3 linked regions of the Drosophila melanogaster genome follow. The protein of the gene in region 1 purifies or fractionates together with the protein of each later gene. This does not show direct contact. Each region holds a gene or a part of one and is shown on either strand. Other genes may lie near its edges.

What was found. The genes of interacting proteins can lie anywhere in the genome.
Region 2: the proteins of CG5174 (region 1) and p23 purify together in Drosophila melanogaster (affinity purification with mass spectrometry, with the first as the bait; one large-scale study listed by BioGRID). This does not show direct contact.
Region 3: the proteins of CG5174 (region 1) and RhoGDI purify together in Drosophila melanogaster (affinity purification with mass spectrometry, with the first as the bait; one large-scale study listed by BioGRID). This does not show direct contact.

Annotation. Positions count from the first base shown.
Region 1 is NT_033778.4:18,421,029-18,426,799, forward strand, and holds CG5174 (uncharacterized protein), read left to right. Parts: upstream 1-1,903; 5' UTR 1,904-2,256; coding exon 2,257-2,707; intron 2,708-2,840; coding exon of another isoform or gene 2,841-2,843; intron 2,844-2,940; coding exon of another isoform or gene 2,941-2,979; intron 2,980-3,098; coding exon 3,099-3,223; intron 3,224-3,297; coding exon 3,298-3,458; intron 3,459-3,578; coding exon 3,579-3,638; intron 3,639-3,843; coding exon 3,844-4,048; intron 4,049-4,311; coding exon 4,312-4,419; 3' UTR 4,420-4,935; coding exon of another isoform or gene 4,936-4,977; 3' UTR 4,978-5,193; downstream 5,194-5,771. Other genes in the region: PIG-O (phosphatidylinositol glycan anchor biosynthesis class O), read left to right, coding at 5,701-5,771.
Region 2 is NT_033777.3:9,676,420-9,680,158, forward strand, and holds p23 (p23), read left to right. Parts: upstream 1-1,507; 5' UTR 1,508-1,650; coding exon 1,651-1,667; intron 1,668-2,142; coding exon 2,143-2,229; intron 2,230-2,300; coding exon 2,301-2,557; intron 2,558-2,623; coding exon 2,624-2,817; 3' UTR 2,818-3,239; downstream 3,240-3,739. Other genes in the region: Nepl12 (Neprilysin-like 12), read left to right, coding at 1-245, 305-1,300; nmdyn-D7, read left to right, coding at 3,662-3,739. UniProt on the Drosophila melanogaster protein: Cytosolic prostaglandin synthase that catalyzes the oxidoreduction of prostaglandin endoperoxide H2 (PGH2) to prostaglandin E2 (PGE2).
Region 3 is NT_037436.4:19,926,766-19,933,430, forward strand, and holds RhoGDI (RhoGDI), read left to right. Parts: upstream 1-1,977; 5' UTR 1,978-2,143; intron 2,144-4,049; 5' UTR 4,050-4,065; coding exon 4,066-4,249; intron 4,250-4,322; coding exon 4,323-4,432; intron 4,433-4,497; coding exon 4,498-4,612; intron 4,613-4,925; exon of another isoform or gene 4,926-4,972; coding exon of another isoform or gene 4,973-5,077; exon of another isoform or gene 5,078-5,147; intron 5,148-5,216; coding exon 5,217-5,413; 3' UTR 5,414-6,165; downstream 6,166-6,665. Other genes in the region: Grasp65, read left to right, coding at 1-114; CG8004 (uncharacterized protein), read right to left, coding at 790-1,515, 1,589-1,672; CG46462 (uncharacterized protein), read left to right, coding at 4,973-5,077.

The sequences.
Region 1 (5,771 bases):
TAACAATTCGATTTCTAACTATAATTTTCAACCCAGATATAGCAGATACAACCGTATGTCTTATTTCTTTTGAAATACAAAAGTTTTAAACCGAAACTTTTCTGTTTGAATAAAGGCGCGATCTGGCAGCTCTAGGTAGTGGTGTCACAGCGTCGATAACTAACTTAGTTTCTCACCGAGCTGCAACAAGTTTAATTACAATCGATAACGAAGATTGGAGCTTTTAGTGAGTAAAATTTGACCCATTTCTGTTGTTTGAACGTTTATTACGCATTACGTATTTACTTAAGCGATTTTGTGAATTTTTTGTGTGTAGTTATGTGCACGAGAGATGGAATTTTTGACCGAAAGCTGCTATCGATAGTGACATTCCTTCGATTTATTTTAGCAACCATCGATAGCTAAGCAAGCGAAACAAAAAATTATTTTCAACTTGAAAGTTTTGCGACAAGTGCGTGCAGTTGGCATCGAAATAGTTAACAAAATTGCCGCAGACTTCCGGAGACAACGCCGTAATGGAGGACCGTAAGTGTGTGGCATACGGACGCAGTGCATCATTGCAATTCCAATGCAGCGGCACATGTTTCCGTGGGCTCTTGTGACCTGGGCGATTGGGACACCTAAGACCTTTCGGGTAATTCGGGTATCATTACTATTGTAGGACTCTGATTCAGCAGCGGCTTTGCCAAAAGTTTTGGGGGACTTAGAATACACAATGAGTTAACCTTGGTGCGCTGGGAATCAGCAGATGAGTCATGGTTCCGATTTGCGTAGGGTGAAAGGCTTTCCAACTATTCGGATTACCGTGGAAGTTCTGCGACATGCCATCGATGGCAATCCGTTTGGTGGGCGGGGGTCAGGTTCTTTGTGGTGTAAGTATTGCATTCTCGGTTTCCGACGTCCATGCATACGTGGCTTTTAGAAGCGCAACATCCGCAGGGCGGCTATGATATGCATATCATCTGAAAACGCCTCCTCCCACTGAGCTTATCACCATGGTGCCACTATAATTGTTCGGAGCTCTGTTCCCCCACCGAAACCACTTAGTAATTGGCTTCCACTTGTTGACTTCTCGATGGGATTGGGCCTGCCACAACAACAGGCACTTCTGAGCAGCAAGAACTCGCAGCAAACCAGAACTAGCTCACATATATATATATATATATATATAGTGTAGATATAGGGTCCATCAATGTGGCACAGTGGCTTTGTGCTCATACAGTGCTTGATGGTCGGAGGAAGCTGGGAAAAATCGGAAAAATCCAAACTGGTAATTGCTATTTAGCAAGAAGCTAAATTATGAATTATTTTCCTTTTTTTGTTTGGCTCCAACAAAGCGATACAGTTATGTACAGTACGTTTTTGCAAAGAAAAACTTTATTTATAGTTATATTTAAAGTTCCTTATCATAGGGTTTTTCAATTTTTAAAGTTGTTCATCTCCTCACAATTGTTTACTTAATAAATTTAAAAGGTACAATTAAAGAAGAATATTATTCAATTAATAAATTGAAGTCTCGGTTTATCAAAGCTTTTTGACTGATAAAATAATCATTTTAGCTGCAATTAAATTAGACACATATATGTATATCTAGTGTCTTATCAAAGCGTACTTATTATTTATGCAAATATTATTAGCTTTATAACTTTCCCATGCTTATTAATTTATAAATTAAATGAAGTGTAAAGTTGGTTACTATAGAGCTAATGTATTTACGTAGCTGTAACTTTTAGTCAAGCTCTACTGTAGTCTTGCTGGTTGCTACTGCTGCTGCTGCCTGTTGCTGCCCCTTTTGTTTAGCGCTCTTCTTGTGGCATTTCTCGTCTTCGTGCTGACACGAATCATCAACAAGCGGAGCCAAGCGGCCAACCAATCCACATCTACCAATTTCTAAGCCGAGATCGAGTCAGTTGGCATTTGGCTGTAGACGAGCGTGGATGGAGCAGGCCCAGAATCGAAAGCGAAAACGAAACTGAAATCGAAACAGAAACAGAAGAACCACCACAAACCAGCTGCGATCGCATGGGGAGAGGAATTTATGTGGAACGCGGCGGGCCAAGAACTGAAAGCTCAGCAAAGAACGATCGAAGTGGCTGAAAGCAGGGCCAAGAAAAATGTGCTCGCTGCTGACCGTGGAAACGTGATATGTGCTTAGGATTGGGCCAAGACAATATGAGCCTCCTGCGCCAGCAGCTGCCACGTTCAAAATAGAAAGTTGCTGCCAAAGATGAAAGAGAGCGCCGCTATTGCCACAGAATGAGCGAATCGGAACCGAATAGCCTGGAGTTCATTGAAGACCCCTATCTGCCAAGCATTGATGATCTCACCAGCACACCGTCACTGGATCTGGAAACCAATGATGCCGTCTTGGACTGGTATGGCGATGGGCAGGAGGAGAGCGAGGCTGAGCTATATTTGCGTAATCTGACGCTAGACCAGATATTCTACGATGTGGATTCGGACTACACCAACAGCCTGGAATTGCAGGCAGTGGAGGCGGACTTCATTGCCGCCAAGTTGGCCAATCAAGCGCCATCGTCTTCGATGGCCAAACGCTTCCGCTTGAAGTTCTTTGCCAAGCGAACCATGCGCGACGTTAAGGTCACGTTCATAGACTTCTCCAAACCGTATCTGGCCAAAATATCAAACAGTGATAACTACAAGAGATTCCTCAACATTGGGCATAGAAGTAGAGGTACCAAATTCGGTCAGTGGGGAGGGGGGTTGGTGGGCTTAGGTCGGGTCTTTGTTCTGTGGCATTCGCTTTTCCACTTTCAACCATGACTAACCAGACTAACTTCTCTGTTTCTTTCTCCTTTGCCTGCCTTTCGCCTCGTCAGTTTGTGAGTATTAACAAAAACCCAGATCTAACCAATTAACCAACTCATGTCTTTGCAAATTGTACATACTCGTATATACAACTAAATTCGGTGTATTCAGCCTATGACAAAGTCTTTGAGGAAGTTGCTTTCAAAGGAGGTACTTAAACACTACCCGCCGACAACATTGAAATTAAGCTACAGTCCCCACACAGCACCCCAAGTTTTAATGTTCCCTTGGATTGGCATATATTTAATGGCTTTTTATTTCATGTTCAGATAATACAGCCAACCTGTCGGAGCCAGCATCTCCAGCTAATTCTGTGGCATCCGCAGAAATTGCCGCCGAGTTCGCTGCGCTTTCCGTCGAGGAGAAGGAGCAGCGTCGGGCTGAGTGGAGTCAGGTAAGGAAGTTTTCAGTTTTACGATCATAATTTGATTACTCAGCTCGAACGCTAACTTCTACTTCAATTTCCAGGAGCTCGCCCGCGTTGAGGAAGAGATCAATACGCTGCGAACTGTCCTAGCCTCCAAGACGCGCCATGCCTCCGATCTCAAGCGCAAGCTGGGCATCACCGTCTGGAAGGAGGTGACGGACGACGTGAACCAGGGCCTTAAGAACCTCAAGGAGAGCACTGTGTAAGTCTATGAACCGTTCGCAGTTCTGCTGGGCAATTAACCCGACTAGACAGTTTTAATTTCTAACCATGCTTTTTGTTTCAAACTCCTGTTGAAACGCTATAACGTGTATTTATTTAGTTACCAATCGGTGGAGCAGAGCGTGGGCACGTTTACTAAAACGGTGTACGAGGCACCACTGTAAGTAATTGGGTTCAGGCTGATTTTTAATTGGGTACTTTTGGAGTTACCGGACTAACGCCGTGTTTCACGCCACTTCCTTTAACACAATAACCAACTCTCGCCTGTTTGTAACTAAAGCGCACCTATGTTTGCCCACTTTGTGTATGGAGGAAAACTATCGAGATGAGTAACTAATGTTGGATTTATTTGTACTCTCCCCTAGATACCAACGCACTGAGTCGGTGCTAAAGTCCACGGGCGAGAAGACCGCCTCGGTGTTTGGCAGCATCACCAGTGGCATTTCGTCGAAACTGTCGCAAATGAAAAACTCCGAATCGATGCGTTCTATCGAGGCTTCGGTGGGCTCTGCCTACGAGAACGTTAAAGTAAGCTATGAACACAACAATTTTATGTGCCAATCTCATGCGGTAACTACTATTTTATTATATATCTGTCTTTACACATCTCTCATACTGTTGCGATTCTGTTTTGGTTCCCGTCTAACTAACTAGCCACTAACTAACCAACTAACTAACACTAACCACACATCTTTCACACTTGCTCACCCACTATAAACGCACTCTGAATTGGGATACTTCGGTTGATTTGCTTGCTTACACAACGAACTACTCCTTGCGCAAATGCTACTGCACCTCTACTACAATCTGTTCGGTTTTCTGTTCTATTGTAGACCAAGGTGACATCCCGCTCGGGTTCGGTGTCCAGTTTCCCAGATGCCCTGGACGAGAATAACACATCCTCGGGTCTGAATTCACCCACAGACTCACTCCCGAAATAGATTTCGGGGCAACTGCAAGGCCAAGCGCGTCGATAATGTGGAGCAACCTATACTACATACAAACAGACCCACGCACCCACTCTATTAACTTATTTAACTAAAGCGAATTGTCGTGTCTGCGCACTAACAACAGGATCAGAATTAATTTAACCAGAAATCATATGTACACCTGTGTCGATACGGTTTATATAATACTTAATATAACTAAAATCTGCGCGTCAAAAATTTGCCAATGGGAGCACATATTATATGCATCTATTTGTATTTGCCTTGGAGACACCATCAAATTGCATGACTTGTTTAAATTTAAAGCCACGGAGGATCGAAGATCCAAGGGCTTGCTGCATTCGTTTATATAACTATCAATCTAAGTGTACGTTTAAAGACTAAACCACATTGGATGGTCCACCCGATGTCATTCCCAAATGTTTCTAATACTTAGTAAAAACATTAGAAAATCATGCATTGCGGTTAAAGTGAATATACATTTGTTTTACGCTTTTATTTCTTCTCTAGGCGTTGAGTTCCGTGGTTAGATGGCGTTCCCTAATCCGTTGAAAAGCCAATTCCAAATTTATTTAGTACTAAATATTTGTGTTACGATCAGAGCTTGCGTGCAAATAACGAAAATCCATTGGTAAACTTAAGTGGATGTAGTCCGTACTGCTGAAGATTGAGAAAGAGACGAAATCGCACCCAATTTGTTGCTAATGCTGATCAAATTTGCTATATGTGTATGAAATCTTTGAATAAATGCAAAAATTTTTGCCCCATAAAAATAGCGATGTCTTTTTGATAAATGATGTTTGGGAGTATATGTGTGATTACCTTTTCAAACTTAAACTACAGCTAATGAATTAAAAAAAGTTAATTTCCAATTTCATCTGTCAGCTTTAAATATCCCGCCAAAAATTATAATAAAGTTGACAACTCTGATTTAACCCAGGGATCAACGTAAAACAGCTGTTTGCTTTGACGAGGTGGCAACGCCATAGAGGGTTCTTGCATACTTCTCAATTTTTTCTTCAGGCCACAAGAAAATCTTTAGATATGAGGAATTTTAAATGAAAACAGCGAGCAAACAGAACGCATCGTGATGCCGGAAACCTAATCAACCACTCCGAAGTAAAGTGCAATTAAATTACATAGTTTTATACAACTGAAAGCGGCTGGCCAGCCGCATAAAGTATTCGCCTACACCAGCATTGTTCTAAATGCTAAAAAGTTTATTACTCATTAAGCATTTGTGTGCCTAGTTAGTTAATTAATCGCAGCCGAAAGATGAACTTGACGTACTTGTTCGTGCTTATTTGGCTGGCCTTCCTCATCAGCAGCGGCGTGATGCTCTTCTC
Region 2 (3,739 bases), on another chromosome or scaffold:
CGGAGTACTACTATAACATCTCGTGGAGTGGACTCCACTCCACTAACAAATTATTCTGCGACTTTTACTACGTTGAACTGGACAAAGTATGCGCCCGACATCGCAAGGCTGTGGCCAACTACCTGGCCATGAAGCTGCTCTATAGATTCGATCCCAAACTGAAGGCGCCCAGGTACCAAAGGAACTACTGTTCGGTTACGCTTTATCAATCCATGCGGTTTCTGTTCAACAAACTCTACATGGCTGTGGGTAACGAATGCGTATGATGAGAATACCAAATAATCTCAACACTCTTGTGTTACAGAACAACTTCAGTGAGGCGAAGAGGCTGGAGATGTCGGAAATGGTGCGGGAACTGCGAAAGAGTCTGCGAAAGGCGCTGGAGGATGCCGATTGGCTGGATGCGGAGAGCAGGGCGAGGGCACTGCTTAAGGAGTCCAGAATACAGCCACGCATTGGTTCGTTCCAAGATGATGCACTTTCGGATCGAATAATCCGGGAAATCAACAGTCTGAAAGTCATCGAGGATCGCTATGCGGAGACCAACATTAATTTGCAGCACCTAGTTGTACAAATCAATCGATTTAGCAGTCGGCATTTTCAGGAGCTGACCAATGACACCAAGCCACAGAAGATCCTGACAGGATTGCAGGTTGGAGCGGGCTACTACACTCCGGACAACTCCATTAATGTGATGGCTGGCGTGGTGGAACCACCGATATACCAACGCCACCTGCCGATTTCCCTGAAATTCGGCACATTGGGTTTTATCGTTGGTCATGAACTCATCCACGGCTTCGATACGACCAGCTCCTATTTCGATGGCAATGGTCACATGGAGTCCTTGTTGTCGGAAATTTCGCAACAGGCATTAGAGGATCGCGCCGAGTGCTACATGGACTACTATGGCAAGTACCAGGTACCGGAGATCAGCAGGCGTGTCAACGGAAAAACTACACTGGACGAGAATATCGCAGACAATAGCGGATTAAGACAAGCATTGACGGCCTATCGCAGTCACAGGCAGCAACTGCTGGAGCATCCTGGGCAGGAGAGGATAAGCGACGCCATGCCGGGTCTCGATCTCACGCCGGAACAGTTGTTCTTCCTGGGATTTGCCCAGCTATTTTGCTCCCATTACGAGGAGGAGCACTACTGGAAAGGTCTTAGCGATGTGCACACCTTCGACCAATTTCGTGTCCTGGGAGTTTTGTCCAACAGCGAGGACTTCTTCCACGCCTACAACTGCTCCGTGGGCAGCGGCATGCGTCCTGGCGCCAAAACGTGCCGACTTTGGTAGATCATAGATTTATAATCATCATCATAAATTCCTTGAACCAAATAAAAGTTGATTTCAATACTTTTTACCGACAATGTAAAATGTTTTGACACAACACTTCAAATTTACGTTACACGTAACAAGCTAACATTTGTGGTTTGAGTACAACTATCGAAGTTTCGCACCCCAGAGCACCGTTCAAATTTAGTCACATCTCCGCAGCGCGCTCGGTAACTCTGTTTCTCATGTCAATTTTGTGCATGACAATTTTGTTCAACAGAAACTGCCTTTTTTTGTAACCAAGTCAGGCTGTCAGTCAGAAGTGTTCCGACTTCGTAAAACATAAACCAACAATTCACAGCAACAACATAATGTCGGCAGCAGCAGGGTGAGTCCACAACCGGCCATCTCAGTGCCAATCGGCGATAGCCGGACCATCTTTTTGTGGCTTCTTTGTGCGTCGCGTGCTTTGTCGTTGCGGCGGCGTCCATTTTCGAACTCCCGGCCGTGAAAAACACATAATTTTCGTTCGGATGACCCTTATTCTCGCGCTCATCCGCCTGGCCAAGCGTTTGTGTCCACGGTGGGCGTGTCCTGTGCGCATCTGCATTGCGATATTTGTGGAACTAATCGGAGGGTCCAGTGTTTGAGGTTATGTTTTCGGCTGGCGGTAATGCCGTGCATTTTCGGCATGGACTTTTGCCTGGGCTTATGGTTTATGCAAATCTAGCTAGCTGGGAAGCTATTTACATAGTTCGTGCACCCGCTTCCAGAAAGTCCGACGCGAGTTGCCATGGCAACGGATCTCGCACAACGACATGAAGCTCTTATTTATGTTTATCCAACTTGATCCTCCATTGCAGCTTGATTCCGCCTCCAGTTTCCTGGGCCCAGCGCAATGACTTGATCTACGTCATCATCGATGTCGAATGCAAGGACATCGAACACAAGTATATGCCCCCATATGTAGTATGTCCATGCTCCTTGCACATCCTAATTCCATATATTTATCCCAAAACAGAGTTACGGAAAAAACCTTCACCTTCAAGGGCGTAAACGTGCTGGATCCGTCGAAGAAGTACGAGGTCACACTGAACTTCCTCCACGAGGTGGATCCCGAGAAGGTGACCAGCAAGAACATTGGCCGCTGCCTGGAATTCACAATACCCAAGAAGGCGGCCGGTCCCTACTGGTCCTCGCTGACCACGGACAAGACCAAGTTGCATTTCCTAAAAGCCAACTTTGCCAAGTGGCGCGATGAGTCCGACGACGAGGAGGGTAAGTTGACATCCTCATCCCCAAGATCTCATCCAGCAAACCCACTCATACAAACGCACTTTGCAGGTGACCAAAAAGACAACAGCATGTTTGGAAATTTCCTTAACAGCCCTGGTGGCGATTGGAACAACAAGTTCGACGATTTCAACGTCGATGACGAGGAGGAGGACTCGGATGACAACATCCCAAGTCTGTCCCAGAACGACGAGGATGACGAGGAGGGCGGCGAGGGTGATAAGGAGAAGAAGCCAGCTGCCTAGACGGTCGCTCAGATGGTGTCTCGCAATTTGGCGTAGTCGTAGCGTTAGGCGTGGCTCTTATACCATAAGTCAGCACACGATCACAACACTCACTCCTCACATACACACCAGAAAAGAAAAAGAAGAAACACTCAATCACTCATAAAACATCCACAAACGCATGCGTACATGAAACACTATTCCAATCGAAGAAAACCACATTTAATATACCTGAATATTATGCGTATTCAGAGGAGAGATGTTAACAAAAAGCAACACAAGGAACAAGATGATTTGGCGCCGACAAGGGAAACCATAAGTTTTACGCTAGAATTTAACAACCAGAGGAAAGCTACAACCAATTTATTGCAAAAATCAGTTTGCAGTTTATTATTTTTGTTTCCTGTAAATAAAGGAAATTAACAATAAAAAAAATGAAAAACTTATATTCGGCTTTTTATTTTCAATATTTTATAAGTTTACAACATTCTATAAATGTTCTAGAAATCTCTAAACTGTTAAATTCGGAATGCGCAGTCCAGCTTCTTAAAGATGTCGCAAAGAAGGCTTTATCTTTGAATAGATAGCGATTTTAAAAAGAAATTATAGGTAATGGTTAAAAATTGTTTATGGGTAATCCCCTAGAATTTGGGTTTAAAATTAACATAGGTATTTTTTTCTTTAAATTTTGCGCCCACTTAAATGAATTTTGTTATGTTGGCAACACTGTTGCTGTGACAACGCGGGAAAGAAGAAGCACAATTGAAATGCAAAGCAAACAAACAGTTATCACTCGAAATAAAGGACTTGCTGTCAAGCGATAGAACGGAAAAGCAAGGTATAAGATTCCCCTCAAAACGATACCATGAAACCCGCTGCGATTCCGGCTAGCGAGCGGCGTCTGGCCTTCGTGGCCGAGTGGTTCCATGCAGAGGCTGGAATC
Region 3 (6,665 bases), on another chromosome or scaffold:
CCGCCGCAGATGGCCCATGTGTTTGCACCACCAGTACCACCGCAAGCTGGCGCTGCTCCGGCGGCAGGCAACGACGAACTATCCGGACCGGCAGTGAATCAGGCTGGAAACTAAGACTTCTACTGGGCCAACTGCTAATGGACCAACTGCTAAACCTGGACAAATTGTTAAGCTTTTATTTTCGAGAATCATCTGATTGTTTTGTATGATTGCGTTAGCAAATATCACAAGTGGCGCGATTGGTTCGGCCATCTGCATGCAAAGATGTGTACATTGCATTCATAATAATAATCTAAATTAATTATAACAATAAATCAATAAAACTATATGTGTATTTAAGGTCTTTACATAAACGAGAGTTCAATTTCTTCAAAAGTATGAAAAGGAAAAGGCAGCAATGTTCAAAAATCAAGACTATTTTTTTTTTTGGTTTGCTAAGAAAACAATTTATTTGATGTATTATAGCAAATACTTACACAATTTTATTAGCAGAAAAGTTATTTGCTGCAAAATAAATGAAGTAAAGATCGTTAGAAGTATTTTAGAATTCCATTTAAACAAACTTGCAGATTGAGTCACTTGTGCAAATGATATTCACATGGATTTTTGGACATTAATGGCAGCAAAATCACTAGAACAACTTTTTTTTTTAAATGCTAGTAGCAAAATAATTGTGACTTACGGCGACGATTTGTTTTAAGGGCATTTAGAATTGCATATATAAGCGGTTAAAAAGAAAGGACAAGAGCAACTTAATTGATAAGCATTTAAGGCAACGACTACGTATAACTAATTTGGTAGGCACCTCGTCTGAAAGTACTTCTCATCGACGAAGCGACAGAACTCGACCAAGTGCTGGAACTTCTGCACCGTTTGGGCCAGCGCCATGTTCGGCAGCGTGGTGGTCAGAATGCTGAAGAGGTGGCCGAAGGCGATGGCGTCCAGTTCGCAGGGCTGATCGCCGTAGAAGAATGGCGTTTCCGGCGACTCTTTCAGCTTGTATTCGAGCGTCTCACAGCACTTGGCCACCTTGTCAATGACGCTATCGATGTCCAGGTCGTCCCACTGATAGACCTTCAACAGACGCAGCGCGTTCCGCCGCTTTCCATAGTTCTGCATGTGATTGAGGGGCCAGGGAAAAACGACTCCGTTCCTGGGCGCTGTGACCTCTTTGTAGACGCGTTCGTTCTTGAAGCTAATGTACAGCTCAGCCATGGTGAAGATGTTCTCCACCAGCGACACATAGGTGCGCATGTCGGCCTTCTCGTCCTCGTCCTGCCAGCTGCCAATGGCCAGTTCCTTCTGCTCCACAAAGTTCACGATCGGCTCGAATTCGGCAAAGATGAATGCTCCTGCGCGGATGAAGGGCAACTTGGTCATCCTGCCGCCCGGCGACATGTGCTCCGCGTTGGCACAGGACCGAATCAAAAAGGGGAGGTTGCACATCTTCAGGTAAGCCTTCACAGCAAGGCAACTGGCGTTTTCCGGCAGTAGGATCTGTTCCGCTTCATACGGCTGTTTTTTTTAATGCACATTAATGAAAGGTTAATGTTAGTGAAGATTCTGGACCTATAAACCAGGACCTTACCTGGTAGAGGGTGGCGTCTTCGGGCCAGGGCTCGGCGGACAATTTGTCGGCCGTTATTAGCTGGCTCAGGTACTGGGATGTCATTGTAAATTAACGGAGTAAATTGTGTTTTTCAACTTGCACACCGAAATCGCCGATGAAGTAACAAGCAGCTGTTTGTCGGCGTTGCCAGACTGTTGCAGACAATGACCAAACAGCGATTCTTATTAGAAATTGCATTTCAGCAAGATTCGTTAAACTAATTAATAATTTCTTTTTAAACCCATACTTACAAAGTATAAAATAGATTTAGGGGAAGCTGTTTCAAAACTAAAAACTTTTTCGAAAAGCAAGTATTTTTGGACAGCAGTGTGAACGGATGACTTCTTCAAGTCCATCTCGCGTTTTGGTATTCTGTCCACCAAAGCATACGTTCACACTTGTAATTCTTATTTTATATTATTTGCTTTGTTTAAAAGTTAGTTATCAAAAGTTGTTAAAAATATAACATACAGTTACTTTTCAGTGATTAATTTTCAGAGATCGTACTATTTGATTAATTTCGCATATTAAAAGGTGAGTGCGCGTCGTTGCCAACTTGCAACTGTGTGTGTGTGTGAGTGCGGTGCCTTCCAATGCATTTTACATAAAAAAAATATTTATAATATTATTATATTAATTTAATACAAGCTGGCATTGATAGCAAATGTATGTAGTTGGGTGACTGCAGGCCAAGAACCACTCCCAAAAATTCTACTTGAAAATCAGTGACGATTCATGTGCCGGCCTCAGTGTGAGTGTGTGTGTGTGTGAGCTGGTGTGTGTGATTCATTCGTCTGGGGTTTTAACATTCTTCGTGCACATTTCTTTATCAAAAAAAGAGAAGAAAAAAAAGTGGCATGGTTCGTACTTTTCCCTGAATTATCCCCACACTTTGTCTTTGGCGGGGGGTCCTCTCTCTCTCTCTCTCTCTCTCTCTCTCTGGCAAGCCCTCTCGCTTGCACTTCCTTCGACGCTGGCACATTTGTTTGGAATTCAAATTTTCAGTTCGGTCAGATTGTTCTTGAAATTACCTTTTCTCACCCATCCTTAATTGTTGCGATTGTATTTATTGGCCCAAACTTGCGTTGTTAGTCCGAAAATTTTTTGTTTATTATTTTTTGCCATTCCCACACAAGCACGGAGAGAAATTGTGAGTGCTTTTCATATGCCTAATTTGGAAATATTACGATGAGATCTAAAAACCGATACTAAGATTCAAACTATTGATTTTTAAGCACCAATAATATTTACATTTACAAGTAAAAAACAGATAGATAGATAGATAAATATTTATTAGCTTTGAGAATTTCAAAATATGTTTTGTATAAAATTGAGAAATACATCATTATTACTACTGTATGTACACATGGGCCTGCAAAATCGTTTTGTATAGACACAATTTTATTACCTCAACAACAACTCGATGTCAAGTAATAACAATTCAATTTCATGTATTTTTTTTGCCCGGGTACACTGCATATGTATGTACATATATATAAAGCCAAATCTGGAGAATCGAGAATTATTATTGGCCCAACAACATTCGTTGAAAATGGACAGAGAGCTGGCGACGTGTATTTAGATAGTGGAAAACAAAGCAAGATAACAATAAAGCCATTTTCCGGGGGGCGGTGGGTTTGGCTTTTTGTCGCCAGTTCCCAGTTCTGGTCAATATTATTCAATGCCGATATCCGCTCTCTCTCCCTCCGTCGAGTTCGCCTGCCTTATCTAACTGCCGCTCCGTATTTGGTTGAACCTTTTTTTTTACTTTGCGAGCGGACCAGCTGCAGGTCGAGCGCCCCTCTCTGCCCCGCCCCCTAGACAGAGAACACGTCAGTTCATCAATGCGTTAATAATTGAAATTTAATCAATATTATTGAACGGGCTTATGAAGTGGCTACATTTGTTCGCAACGGAGGCACTCGTGTTGCCAAAAAAGTAAATAAACCCGCTTTATGGCCAGCGAATGATAACGTAATCAGTAGCGAAGTATATGGAATATGTTTGCGATCGTTGTTATTTGAATTTCAATATTTAACATTGTAATTTGTAGAAACAAATGTACTAACTACTCAACTATATATTTAGATGGCAGGTTTTTTTTTCGAATTTCTTCCCTGCATTGTTAAGTTATGAGCTCAACTCTCCTTAGGGCGACAATTTTCAGAAGAAAAAACACTCTTCCTACATTTTTTGAATGAGGAATACTTTCATACACTCCGATACGATGTAGCAGATATGGTGGCGCACATGCCATTAAAATGGAGGCATATACATATGTGTATAAAACAACATCATTATCGTCAAAATGTTACTCACACTACTAAAAATATGCCTATGACCCACAAGCTTCACCCAGAGAAACCGACGCATACTAAGCAAAATCCGAAGCAATATTTAAATGTAATTGATTGATAAACAAACAATTGCCTTTGGACAGTTCTAGGTTAGCAATCATGGCCGAAACAGAGACGAAGCACCATCCCGAGCACCACGACGACGATGTCCACGATGCCAACTACCAGGCGCCGCCGGAGAAGACCATCGAGGAAATAATGGCCGCCGATCAGGAGGATGAGAGCTTGCGGCGCTACAAGGAGGCGCTCCTGGGTGCCGCCCAGACCGAGAAAATTATTGTTGGTAAGGGGCGGTTAACTTGGCCTCTGAAAGTGGAGGGTGCAGAATATACTAAAGCAATAACATTTTTACCCAGAACCCAATGATCCCCGAAAAGTTATTGTAAAGAAACTGGCCCTCGTTGTCGAAGGACGCGACGACATGGAATTGGATCTTACCGGTGACCTTAGTCAGCTGAAAAAGCAGGTAAATATCATTAACCATCATCATCCATTCGACTACTTTTGTTAATCAAAACCCTATTGCGACAGCTTTTTGTGATCAAAGAAGGTGTTCAGTACAAGGTGCGCATTGATTTTATTGTGCAGCGTGAAATAGTCCATGGCCTTAAGTATGTTCAAAAGACTTCTCGCTTGGGTGTTAATGGTGAGTATTTAAACATGACATTTGTATTTTTAATTGGCAGAATATAGAATAGATTTACACTCTCAATTCTATCAACATTATATGTCTTTACTTAGGGCAAAGCAATTATATTTCTTTTTTGTCCTACCCTAATTTTCTATTAATTGATTTATTTATTTACTGACCTAGTGCCCTAGTATTGTAAGAATAAAATTAAATTAAAACCGGGTCAAAAGATACTTGTTTTTAGTTATTTTCCATACGTTACACTATGCGAGCACTTCTAGGTCTTCAATTTTCCGTGCTGACGCGAAATCGTTAGTATTACACCTCAGTTTTTGATTGACTTTTGTGCGGGCTAGTCGAGTTTTGTTTCTAGCAATGGGTAAAAGCTGGTTCAATGGCACAACCATACTGGTGGGATTTTGCAGTGCTGCCTATATCCTTTTTTTCACAATTGCCATACTAACTTTAGTCATGTGTTGAGAATAACTTGTATTCCATTATCTCCAATGCCAAACCCTAATTTCGGAATGTATAATTTTTTAAGTTGTGGGTAAGCTGGTGCAGCCCATCCGCAAATGTGTATCCTTACTAAACTGACTGTTTTCGCATTACTCCATAGTTGACAAGATGAAGCATATGGTTGGCTCCTATCCGCCGAAGAAGGAGATTCAGTTCTATTTGACGCCCGCCGAGGAGGCACCTTCAGGCACATTCTCCCGCGGCACCTACTCGGTCAGTTCGGTCTTCACGGATGACGACAAGCACATACACCTGGAGTGGGACTGGACCTTTGAGATCAAAAAGGACTGGGCCTAATTGGCACACCGAACAGCACACAACAAACACACACGACACACAACTTACAACATACATCATACGCTTTTTGTTTTCCCTCAAACATGCCTTGTAAATGAGTTTAGTTTTGTTCCAAAAGTGTAAGCGAATTTTTCCAAAAGTGTAATTGATCGTCAAGTATTTTTGTTAACGGTATTAAATTTTAAATATTTTTGTAACTAAAGTGTAATGTAAAGCCATGATAAGTATTTTTGATACCCTATTTGCAATTGGAATGTGTGCAGATGAAGAGCATTTTTCGCCTAAGTCCTCCTCAATGAGAGTCAAGTCAAAACCAAGTCAAGTCACTAGGCCAGTCAGTCAGTCAGTCAGCCAACCAGTCAGTCAGACAGTCAGTCGTTTGGTTCTTAATGCCATTGCCTATGTTTAACATACATTTTCAAACAGATTAACAATTGAGTAATTAACTTTAAGAAAGTTGTTTGCATTTCGCTGTGTATTTCAAATTGAAGAATGGAATAGTTTATTGTAAGAACAAGTCGCCTCAAAACTAAAAAGAAACCGATTAAAATCGTGCAACACGAACTGTTAAATGCAACTAAAGCTGATGCTTTATTATGCATTTGAAGTTTGTGCAACATGGAGTTACTTAAATCCACATTATTCTAACTATATATCTCTGTGTATTTTTTGTGTACAACATACCATATATGCGAAAGCTGATTGAATGCAACCGAAGAGCAATAAAGAATAAAGGATACATATTTTAAAATAAATGCCTAAGTGAGCGAATTCTTTTTCCATGATATGGGTATCCCATAAATTATAGTGGCAGTGTGTGCACAGATTTCTCCGTAGCCAAAGATAAGTTGACTTCACACTTTATAATGCTTATCAGCTTACATTGCCAAGGGGCAAACGTCATAAATTGTGGCCAGCAGAGCGAGTATTACTCATCCGCCCTGTGAACGGTCACCAAATATTTTTCAAGGTGTACAAAAGAGAGAATTTGTGAAACACACTTCTCTGTTTACATTCGCAACCAGCAACAAGTGGCCAGCCTCTTGTTGCGCCAGACATTAGCAGCATGTTGCCCAACAATCGCCGCTTCAGAACAGAAAATAATAATAACCGCATTTTATATTCCAACGCACATTTGTCTTCAGAGTCGCGAAAACCTGCATGAATAAGCAAGTTACTTTTTCGGAAATTGCTATAGTTGCCAGCAGAAAAATGGTGTAATTTAAGAAAAACAAATCATTTGTGTTTTCGG